Diceros bicornis minor: one gene and its partners. The protein of the gene in region 2 interacts with the protein of the main gene of each other region in a biochemical or structural test. Links are inferred from orthologs where the notes say so. Each region holds a gene or a part of one and is shown on either strand. Other genes may lie near its edges.

The links.
Region 1: of the proteins of MAPT (region 2) and GSK3B, one has a biochemical effect on the other in vitro, tested with the Homo sapiens proteins (21 studies listed by BioGRID and IntAct, with this or other methods). The link is inferred for Diceros bicornis minor from reciprocal best matches to the Homo sapiens genes MAPT and GSK3B.
Region 3: the proteins of MAPT (region 2) and SNCA form a complex in vitro, tested with the Homo sapiens proteins (3 studies listed by BioGRID and IntAct). The link is inferred for Diceros bicornis minor from reciprocal best matches to the Homo sapiens genes MAPT and SNCA.

Annotation. Positions count from the first base shown.
Region 1 is NC_080754.1:21,500,213-21,503,957, forward strand, and holds the start of GSK3B (glycogen synthase kinase-3 beta), read right to left. Parts: upstream 2,593-3,745; 5' UTR 2,095-2,592; coding exon 2,007-2,094; intron 1-2,006. Other genes in the region: uncharacterized protein LOC131414749, read left to right, coding at 2,593-3,213. UniProt on the Homo sapiens protein: Constitutively active protein kinase that acts as a negative regulator in the hormonal control of glucose homeostasis, Wnt signaling and regulation of transcription factors and microtubules, by phosphorylating and inactivating glycogen synthase (GYS1 or GYS2), EIF2B, CTNNB1/beta-catenin, APC, AXIN1, DPYSL2/CRMP2, JUN, NFATC1/NFATC, MAPT/TAU and MACF1.
Region 2 is NC_080757.1:44,470,090-44,473,834, reverse strand, and holds the start of MAPT (microtubule-associated protein tau), read right to left. Parts: upstream 2,304-3,745; 5' UTR 2,210-2,303; intron 1-2,209. UniProt on the Homo sapiens protein: Promotes microtubule assembly and stability, and might be involved in the establishment and maintenance of neuronal polarity.
Region 3 is NC_080747.1:73,700,140-73,703,884, reverse strand, and holds the start of SNCA (alpha-synuclein), read left to right. Parts: upstream 1-1,099; 5' UTR 1,100-1,158; intron 1,159-2,643; 5' UTR 2,644-2,673; coding exon 2,674-2,794; intron 2,795-3,745. UniProt on the Homo sapiens protein: Neuronal protein that plays several roles in synaptic activity such as regulation of synaptic vesicle trafficking and subsequent neurotransmitter release.

The DNA of each region.
Region 1 (3,745 bases), on a different chromosome or scaffold from region 2:
TTAGCGTCGAACTCCAACTTTTTAAATGTTAAGTTGACCTATATGTTAATAGAAAATCACACCTTTTAACCTACAGACTTTACAAAAGTTACTCCATCCTCAGTCAACATCCACACTACGGAGAATTAAGGAGTCATTTTCAAAGAAAATCATGGAAACAAAAAACTCAAAATTTTAACATTATAAGCTATTCTATTTGGCTCTCTGAAACAGATCTAACAAATTAATTACCTAAAATTGATTTCAAGTGGTTTTTAAACTATATTACCAAGGAGAAAAACATACAAACACTCCAGTGCCACAAGAGGCTCTTAAGTAGCTATTATAAGATTTGCTTCATCATAGCTGAAAATTACGCCTGAATTTTAAAATATTCCTTTTAAATGACCCCATGAAGTGCTTAGAAAGCTTGACCCTTCCCTGAAAGACGCATGGTCAGCTTTTCTCTTCACATACCCTGCATTCTGTACTAGCTAGTCACCAAAAAAAAAATTAACTTTCAAAAATAATCTCCCATTCAGCTATTACCTTAGATTACCCTGTTTCACGCAAGTTTCAAAAGCCAACATGAATTGAAATCCTGAGTTCAATTAAAAGTGATCATTTTATGTTGCCTAAGGTTATAATCAATTTCATATAACAGCATGTACATTTTTTTAATCTCAGTTCTTCAGTTCTCTTCTTCTCCTAGGCAACAAAATAGTATTCTTTGCCCTCATCATGCCCCTTTCTCAAGGAATAAGAAAACAATATATTTTTGTCAAATTCTGGAAGTATATTTAAATAAGCTGTCATTAAATATCACAGAAACATATCCACAAATAGAGAGAGATACATTAGAATATCGGATACTTAGTATACCAAACACCTCAAGAACACAGACTTTTCAGCACAAATCTGGGACAAGAGTACAGTCTAGCAACAACCCTGAACACAGCCCAAATATCCCTATTATATTCAGGACCACAGTGCTCTGCAAAATCTATGACGGAAAGGTCTAAAATCCATATTCTTATAACTAAGTCTATAGTTTTATCTAAATACGACAGGAAACCAACGCCAGAGAATTTTAAACAGTCCTAAAAAGGGACCCCTTTAGTCTAGATCATTTAACAAATACTGAATGCAATGACACCCCAAAATTGAACTTAAATGATGAGTCAGTGACAATTAACATTCAACTTGGAATGTGGCAACATGACAATAAAAACCTCAATCAAAACTCAGACTCAGTTCCAAGTTACCTTTTGATTAAACATAAATTATATACTAGTAGATCGGTAATGTCAAAGCAGAAAAGTTAAGAGAGAACATATTAAACCACTTATCCAATTTAATACAATGCATGTAGACATACTCCTGTTACTGGTATCTATCAGCTCCCACCCGCCCCTTCTAAGGGAGGAATCGATGCTCGCCCCCAGACGCCACTGCTGGTCACTGAGCAAGTTTATCTCTGGATAAAGAACAAACACTGCGTATAGTCACACAAGCAAGAGAGAAATGTTAGAAGCCTGTGACATTAAGGCTCTCTATTAAGTGTACAAAACTATGATAAGCCCAGAGATCTGAGCTAACTACAATATTCCTCATTCAAAGAGACACAGACTCTGCAAATGCACATAATGGTTTATGAATCAAGTCTTGTCCTTCTCTTTATTCCAAAGGATAAGCAAGTAAACACTCCCATCACTATTTTAACATGGAAATACTCAAGCACTTGATAAAGCTGACTACCACCAGCAAGAAAATTCTAAGAAGTGTTTCAAATCGAATCATCCAAATAAAAATCATATTCTCTGCACTCAAGGTTAATGAGACCGGGGGAGGTATGGGAGGAGAAAAGAGGGAGCTGCCTCATCCTTGACTGAAGACAGGTTTTTGCGCTTTTCCATTACCTCTGATGGTTATATCAGGAGATCTAGGATCTTAAGATCCTGGTATTTCAAGGTTTCTTATTTTAAAGGTGAGGTGAAGAAGGGGTATAAAATAAAATCAATACTCACTGCTAACTTTCATGCTGCCAAAAGCTGAAGGCTGCTGCACTGGCTTGCAGCTCTCCGCAAAGGAGGTGGTTCTGGGCCGCCCTGACATGATCACTCTCTTCCCGAATCACCTTTTCCTTCCTTCCTCCTTTGCTTCCTTTTGTTTTATGTTGGGGTATTAGGTTAATGATAAATGCAGCATTAAGTTCTCCCACAAGAAAAAGAAAAAGACTTCGTCCACTTGGCTTTTCACTCCTCTTGTACAGCTATAAAAAAAAACGAGCGATGTATTTCTCCTTCAAGACAGATCAGTATGGATATTGAACATATAGATGATTTGGGGCTGGGAAAAAAATACAATTCTTTCCCCTCCCTTTCCTTGTAGGGGAGAAAGGGGGGAGGAGGAATCCTAAAAAAAAAAAAAAAAAAATCACGTGCAACGGGGACAAATACTTGATTGAAAATAAGTACTTTGAATATTATATATTCCTCGGGATTTTTTTTCCGAGTCAATGAAGAAGGGAAGCGGCGGAAGGATCACGAGTCTCACGCTTGAAAAGAAGGGGGGATGGGAAGGAGGGAGGGAGAGGGAGGGGGTGGCTCGGAGATGCGACGGGAAGCGCTGCGGCTCCGGCAGCGGCGGGATCCGGCTGACTGGAGGGCGGCGGAGTCGCGAGGCAGTCAGAGGCGGGCGGTGGCGGCGGCTCCTCTCCTCATTGCGCCAGGAGCAGCTGCAGGCGGCGGCTGGATCCAGCGGCCATGGCGGCGGCGGTGGCGGAGGCAGCTCCCTTCAGATCCCAGGCAGCGGCTCCTCGACTGCTCCCCATACGCCGGGGACATGGGAACCCGGCAACCGCTTCCGTCCCTCGGGGCCCCCTCCCCCGTCCACGGCACCAGCGCGGCCGCCCTCCCGCCCCTCGCTTCTGCTCGGTGCCCGCTCAGGAAGCGTCCGCGCTTTGCCCCCAGCCCGGAGCCCTGTCAGCGGCTGCGGGGCCGGCTCCTCCTCGCTTCCTTCCTTCCTTTGTCACTCGGCCCGGGCGGCGGCGGCGGCAGCAGCAGCGGCAGCACAAGCCCGCATTCGCCCGGGTCGGGGGCTGCTCTGTGTGAGGAGCGCCGTCTGCGCAGCCGCCTAGCTCTTCCCCACTCCCCCTCCCCCCTCCTACTCGTCCGCCGCCTCCTTCCTCCCCCACCCAGCCTTACACCGCCCAGCGCCCCGCCGCCCGCGTAACAGGCGTCTAGGAATTGCCGGCCGAGCCCCGCGACCGCCCGCTTCGGCTGGGAAGCCGAAGACCGAGCGGAGCCAATCACGGACGTCGTTTCTTTGCGGCTCCTCCCGGAAAAAGCCGATGGACCTGAGGAACCAATTACAAAGTGTCGCTGGAAATCCACGCCCAAAAAGCGGAAAGTGCCGAAGATAGCCGAACGAGAAGGTGGGTTCGCCTTGTTCTGTGGCTGGGTAGAAGAGAAATTCGACAATGGCAACAGTGGCCAATCAGAGTCGCCGGCCCTCAGGAAAAAGCTTGAAGAGTTAAAGGACGGTGAAACCCTGCGTTGCTGGTGAAACGGCACCGCTGGGCGCCGCGGCCGCTTTGTAATTGGCTGAAAACTCCGCTGGGAGTGTTCCTCCCTCGCTGATTGGTGAAGAGAAGGGGGCTTCCGAGGACAGCCTGGCCAGTCAGAACGTCTCCTCCCTCGTCGAGGTGGGGAGAAGAAAAAAGCGAAAGGAGGGCGTCTATAAAGCGCCTTCTGATTGGCCTGAA
Region 2 (3,745 bases):
GATAGAATTAACCAGAAAGCCGCACGGACCGGCTCATCGCAGGAGGGCGATGCTCGGACTTGTTGGTCAGGGGTCGGTACCCGAACCCCCCGCACTGCCCCCTCCCCACCGGTTTCAAGGGCGTTGGTGAACTCGGGCCCTTTAGTGAAAATTCCGCACGTTTCTAAAATAATATTCGGCCACAATAATAAAAATACACGAGGAACGCCTATCCGGGTGGCTGCGGCCGCCGAAAGGCAATTAGGAAGACCAACAGACTCAGGGTTGGGGGGGGTCTCCCTCCAGGAGGCCGAGGGCGCGCTGCCCCCCCTTCCCCAGGACTCTCAATCTCTGCCGGGAAGGGGCGGGGCAACGCCCTTAGCTCCGTTCTCCCGACGCGTGTGGTTTCTATGGCAACCTCATCTCCGCGCCCCCCTCCCAGTCCGCTCGGGAAAAATGGGTGTGGCCTGCAGCACCGGACGAAACCTCGGGCCCCCTCCTCACATTCTCCTGACTGGCGAAGCAACAGCGCGTGAAGCGGAGAGGGGCGCGAGCTACCCCCCGACCTCCCAGGGGTCGCCGGTGACCCTTGGTCCGCAGGCTGGTGGGGCGTGGCCCCCAGGAAGCTCTGGGTGTGGGGAGGGGCGTCGTCCATCTGCGGCCATCCGTACAGCGCGCGCAGACCTCGAATCCCACCCCATCGGCCTCGCGGACGCTTCCCGGCTCGCGGCCTGGCTCCGGGAGGGGGCCGCGCAGGGTCACGCCCGTTCCATGCGTGCCCCCGGGGCTGTGACTCGAGTTCCTCGACCCCAGCAAGCCCCGAGATCTAACAAAGGGCTCGGAAATGAGGGGCGAAAACCGGGGGCCTTGGTTAAACACCCTCATAGAAGAAAAGCCAAAAAACCAAGGCTGGCAACGCGGATCATGTAAGCCCGACAAACAAAGCAGCGAGACCCCCAGGAAGATCCTGGGTGAACGCCCCTGGGGCTCAAGCCCGCAGCAGCAAAAACGCCAAGATTTCAGCGCTGATTGCCCCCCCCCCTTTAATGACAGTCCCCGCCCTGTCCTCCGAAGCCCAGCCACCCGGCTTGGCATGGTATCGTAAAGAGGTGACACGCCGCGAAAAGATGGCACCTCGCGTTCAGAGAGGAAAAAAGCGGGGGTGGGAGTGGGAGGAGGCACAGCCCACCCTCCCCCTTCTCGCCCACCCGGGTCCACACCCACTGCCGCAGTGAGGGGCGAGCCCTGCGCGCCAGCCCCGCGCCTCCGGCAGGGAGCGCTCACGCTGGACGCCGGGCGCAGGGCGCAGAGCGCAGAGAAAGGCGCCCGCCCCGAAATGCACCTGCAGCCCCCGCGCCGGTCTGTGCGGGGCTGTGGCTGTCAGCACCCGCGAGCCGGGATCGGCCTCTGCCGAGTCCTTCCACATCGCCAGGCCAGGTGACCCCTGCCTTTCCGAGCCTCCACATTGGGATCCGCGCACTACCTTCTCTCGAGCACGGCGCTGCTCGAATCTCGGTGCCAGGCGCGCGCAGGGGGAAGGGCAACTAAAGTGACAGCGCCCGGACCCCTCCCCATCTCACGGCTTCCAGTCCCAGCCCCCAAATGTCCCCTGCGGGTTTCTGAAGGAGGAAAACGCAGAGGGCGTGGGCCACTGCCTTAAATCAGGGGCAGCGAAAGCCCGGTTGGAATTGCTGCCGGGGAGGTGTAGGGAGGGGCAGGCAGGGAATCATCTTTTCTAGAACCCAATCCATACCTTCCTTAGGGCTGACGGCAAACCGAGACAGAGAAATCGGATAACAGGTTCGGCTTCTGGGGTCGTCATTGGAGCCCCCCCACACACACACACATAGACACACGCCCATTGCGGCAAAAGGCGGCGACCGAGAGTGCATGGAAGCCCCTTCTCCCAGGTCACCGCCATCCGCGCCCCGCCCTGCGGGCACAGCCTGTGCCCGGGTCCGCGCGAAGCGGGTCCTGTGGACCCCCCCCCCAGCGCGCACACACACACACACACACACTCACACGCGTGCGTGCATCCCTTGCATGGGTCCCTTTCCAAACAGCCCAAGTCCCAACCCTGGAGCGCAGAGGGCGCAGGGAGGGGCCTCCGCCGTTGCCCCCGACCAATGCCCACCTCATGAAACCCATCTCTGCGGCGGGGCGCCAGGGGCGGCGGCATGGGGGTGCAGCGGGGCGGACAGGGAGGCAGATTTCGGAGCCTCGCGCTTACCTGATAGTCGACAGAGGGCGACGACAGTAGAGGAAAGCAGAGGAGAAAGTGGCTGTGGTGGCGGCGGCAGAAGGTGGGCGGCGGCGGCGGCGGCGCTGCTGCTGGTGCCGGAGCTGGTGGGTGGCGGAGACTGCGAGCGCGCGCACCAGCGAGAGGGCGCGCTCCCGAGACCGGCGGGCCGCGCAGGCGCGAGCAACGGGAGCGCGAGCCTCCCCAGGGGAGGGGCGGGCAGCGAGGCCTCCGCGGGCGTCTTCTCCTCCGGCCACCAGTGGGCGCGCGCGAGCAACCCACCGCTCGGCCCTCCCCTGCCTCCTACCTCGGTCCTCTTGGCGCTTCCCTTCCCCGGTCTCCCCTCCCCTCACTCCTCAGGCCGGGCGCTGACCGCCACGCGCACGCGCGAGCCGTGGCGCAGGCGCACTCTACGTCTCCTCCCGCTGCTGGAGCCTTTGTTTTGTCTGAGGGGTGTCTTCTCTCGGCAGGGTGGCTTGGTTGCTTCTGGGGGCGGGAGGAGGCTGGGTTTTCCGCTCCCAGATCTGCTACCCTTTTCATTCCCGTCGTGCCGGGATGATGTCCTATCACGGAAAGGTCCCGAGCGGGTTTCGCCATGGCTGGCTCCCCAGTCTGTCCACCTGGACTCAAGGCCAGTCCCAGGCTGGCCCTCCTTATCGCTGGCCGGGCACCCTGACTCTCCCGAGTCCCCAAATGTTCCCCCTTGTTGGAGATCAAGTTTCCCTGGGTCTGCTTCCTTTCAACTTGCTTTCCTTCTAGCTTTTTTGTTATTGACCAAGGAGAATCCTTTCCTTAGCTAATCCACTTAAAACACTCAGTTGTTAATACAGTAGTGCAGTTTTTTAACAAAGAGCATTCGAATCTATTTATCTAACTGTGACCCTAGAGTAAAATCTTAAATTAGACCAAGATTTAAATGGCGCTTATTACATTGTAAAGCATTTTCACATAAACAGTTATTTTTACCTCGTTTGTTGAAACACTGTTATACTGGAAGTAGAGCCTGACATCTGAATTTCTAAGTGCCTGGGGGAGGGGGGGGAGATTCTCACCTGGCTAACACACCTCTGACAAACTGACCAGAGGCCTTCATTCTCTCAGTCGCCCAATACGATATGGGAGCTTGTATTGAAGTTTTTTTTTTTTTTAATTTTTTGTTTATTGCAGTAACATTGGTTTATAACATTGTAAAAATTTCAGGTGTACATCATTGTACTTCTATTTCTGCATAGATTACATCATGTTCACCACCCAAATACTAATTACAAGCCATCACCACACACATGTACCGAATTATCCCTTTCACCCTCCTCCCTCCCCCCTTCCCCTCTGGTAACCACCAATCCAATCTCGGTCCCTATGTGTTTGTTTATTGTTGTTATTATCTACTACTTAATGAAGGAAATCATACGGTATTTGACCTTCTCCCTCTGACTTATTTCACTTTGCATTATACCCTCAGTGTCCATCTATGTTGTCACAAATGGCTGGATTTCATCGTTTCTTATGGCTGAGTAGTATTCCATT
Region 3 (3,745 bases), on a different chromosome or scaffold from region 2:
TGTTTTCCCTCCAGCTCTGAAAGAGATGAAAATATGTTAAGCAATGCAAAAATTTTCTTGAAGCCCGCGCGCGCGTTTGCCCGTATGTCTGTGTGTGGGATGGGGTTAGGTGTCAGCTCCGAGGGCAACGTGAATCAGAAGTCAGAAAGGTGAGCGGTGTGTAGAATCTCCCTTTCAAAAGGGATGGAAGAAAGAATTGGATATGACGGTTCGGGAAAATAAACCACGCTGGATTTGTCTCCTCCATCCAGGCACTTGAATCTGAAAAGTAAATTCCGTTTCGAGAAGGAAAAGCTGTATATAGCTGCTTGGTTTCGACGGCTGGGGAATATTTATTCCTCGTTCCGCTGATGGGAAAAATCGGCGTCTGGCAGCCGCTGATTGGTGGAAAAGAAAATGGTGATAGTGGGGTGGGAAGAGGATTTGACGAGCCTCCTCCTGCCTTCTCAACCTGTAACTCATCCTTGCTACTCTCCTCCCCACCCGCGGGACCCCGTCGGGATCATGAGAGGTTAAGAGCAAACGAAAATCTGGCAGATATTTAAACAAAAGCACCTTTAACGTTGTCTCCTACGACCATTAATCAAATTTCAGCGATCCGAGGGAAACGTGCTCTTGGCGATGCCGATGTGAGCATCCTTCCTGAGCTGCCTGCCTTCTTCAGCAGCTCCCCGAGAGATTGGCTCTATCTTTGGCGGTCCATCCCTCAGGCCCCCACTCCCCCAGGTTGGCTCTGACGTGGGGGTCCTCGTGAGGAACCAGAGGGAAAGGCGGAGACAGGGAAGGACGGGGGATGGGAAAGAGAGAGCCATCAGCCCAAGCCTAACCGCTCCCGATCCCCGCAAGAGTCCCCGTGACCCTGAACTTGCAGTGAAGCGCAAGACACCCCATTTCCCGCCTCCCAGGCCCAGGCGGGCGGCTGGAGTTGGAGGTACAGCCTTCTCCCCGCCCCCCTCCCCATCCGAGAAGAGGAGTGAAGTGCACGCGGCAGGGAAAGCAGCGAGCGCCGGGCGAGGGGCGGGGAGAGGCGCTGACAAATCAGCTGCGGGGGCGGCGAGCGGAGGAGCGGGAGGAGGAGGAAGGGGAGGAGGAGGACCACGACGACGGGAAGGGGACCCGAGAGGGGGCGAGCGACCGAGCGCGGCGACGCGGGGTGAGGTGTGTGCTGGTTTTAGAGCAGACCCGGGGACCGAGCCTTGCCCTTAGCATCCTTCGCGCTCTCTCCCCGCCTTCCCCTCCGACCCTCTGTCTCTTTCTCTCGGATCCTCCCGTGCGGGGGACGAGGAGTGGCAATTCGACGACAGTTCGCGGGTTCGCCTCCCACGCCCCCAGCCTCTCTTTGCCGGGTTGTGCTGACAGCAGCCTCCTCTGGGGACAATCCCTCTCCTGGTACCGCCTCCGCCCTTCCCGTCCGCTCCTTATCCTCCCTCTTCCCATTTAAATAATATTTGGAAATTGTTTAAATTTGTTTTTAAAGAGGGGGTGGGGTGGGGAATCGGAGTTCTGAGGAGCGGAGCGACTCAGGTAAGTACCTGTGGATCTAAACTGGCAGCTTTGGAAATCCTGGAGAAAACCTGGTGGGAGAGGAGTCATTGTGGACGCCTGGGGGCGGGGGTGGGGTGGGGGGGAGGGGGCTGCAGTGAGGACCCGCTGTGTCAAGTCTCGGAGGTGGGTTCTTATCCCTTTGGTGAGCTTGAGGAAAGTAAGTTGCCCTGGCTTTCCTCCTGTTCCGGTATTTCACTCTTCTCGTCCTCAGAGGCTGAGAGGTCAGGCTTCTCCCGGATACGCTTTTCCTTTGGGAAACGCGAGGATGCTAGGTGGAACGAGAGCGTCCAACTTTTATTTCTCTCTTACTTGAAATCCCAGTCCGCCCTCTCGGTTCTCTTTGTAAAGTAAACAAGCTGTGTTTAGCAGATAATTAAATGGAAGTGCAGAGAGGGCAAGTCAACAGGTGGTAAGGGGTTAACAGGTGCAGGTTCGGGTGGGTAGCGGGTTCACGTGCGCTGAGAACGCCCCCTCGGGCGGCTGGCGCGCGTCTGGAGACGGCCGGCGGGTGTGAACTAGCGCCTGCTCAGAGCAGATAGCTGCGGGCGGGGATGGATGGTCGGGTGGATTAGAGCGAGGGCGGGTGGGCTGCAGTTGGCCTGAAGTGCAGCCACACCCAGAGTGAGTAGTTCTCTTCCCTCCCTTCTCCATGATCAACCTGTTAGCCCTTTTCTGGGATTCGTTTTAAGAGTGCCCCTGACCCCATGCCTCCAGCTCCCTTTCTTTTCCTGTGATGTGTCTTTTAAACGTACTTCTAACTTGTAATGTCACCATTTGGACCCTGGCAAGTTGAAAGAGGGGGTCCATCTTTTCATGCAACTCACTCAGGAAATGCAAAATTAGAACAGCTCCGGTGATTCATTCTAATCCGTGTTTAGGGGACTAGACTTTTACCAGCCAAGATGGATGGGGGATGCTAAATTTTTAATGCAAAAGCTAAAAAAGGCTTCTTTGTCCAATGGCTGAAGTAAGGGTGCACTTAAAAGAGTCTCGAACTTTTGTTCTACTGATCTTTCCGTGGGTTTCACCTTGGGTACTTCTAATTTCGTTTTGTTTTACGCAAGAATTCTCGTTCAAAGTGTATTTTGTATTCTCCAGTGTGGTGTGGTGTAAAGGAATTCATTAGCCATGGATGTAATCAAGAAGGGACTTTCAAAGGCCAAGGAAGGAGTTGTGGCTGCTGCTGAAAAAACCAAACAGGGTGTGGCAGAGGCAGCAGGAAAGACCAAAGAGGGAGTTCTCTATGTAGGTAGGTAAGCCCCAAATGTCATTTTCATGTTTATTTATGGCTGATGGGTTAGGATGATTGATACTCTAAATGCTGGTATTTCTCCCTTGATTCACTTTTGTATTATCACTTGTCAAAAAGATGGACTGAGTCAGAGGTATGTGTGGGTAGGTGAATGTGTATATTTGAGCTAATAGTAAAAAGTGGGGCTAATCTTTTGTTTTTCCAGATTAATTTTGCAGTAATACTTAGGACTTTGTTTTTTTAATAAATGTTTCTGTGCTAAGTGACTATATTTCAAAGGACACTTTTTAGAACTCAATCTTTTAAAAATAATCAAGACTATTCTTAATCAAAATCGTGCATGAGCCTTTGTTTTTTTTGTCCTCATGAATAATATTTGATAATTTTAGTGTATTCTTATTTTAAACTTTGGTATGGCCCTGGGATATGTAAAAAGAGACCTACTGTGACCCTATAAAGGAAAGAACAGAAGAGTCTTTGGTGGAGTTACTTCTTATGACCACTTGGTACGCTGGGGTCTAAGAGCTCAAGAAAGTGCTTGAAGGCTGCTACTAATATCTCGGAGACATTTATATAGCTCCTTTATTAAATGACACACACAATAAATAATGAGATTGATGCTTGTCCTTTCTACTTGTTCCTAAATTCCCACGTGGGGGTATTCATGCAGACCCTGACTATCTTTTCTTTATCTTGAACTGTGTTAGGTTAGGTTGGATGTTATTTTACAAACCACTTCAAATTCTTTAGCGAAGAAATAGACAAACAGATATACACACGCTCTCCACAAGGATACACTCACACACACTCACCCACTGCCTATTCTGCCTCTCCTATTTCTTCCTGCTCCTCTGAGCTCTGCCAGGGTCTCTGGTGGCAGCTGTAGCAGCAGCAGCCACCGGATGAGCAGGAAGGTGCAGGAGGGGCACGTTGCGTGCCATAGGGTGC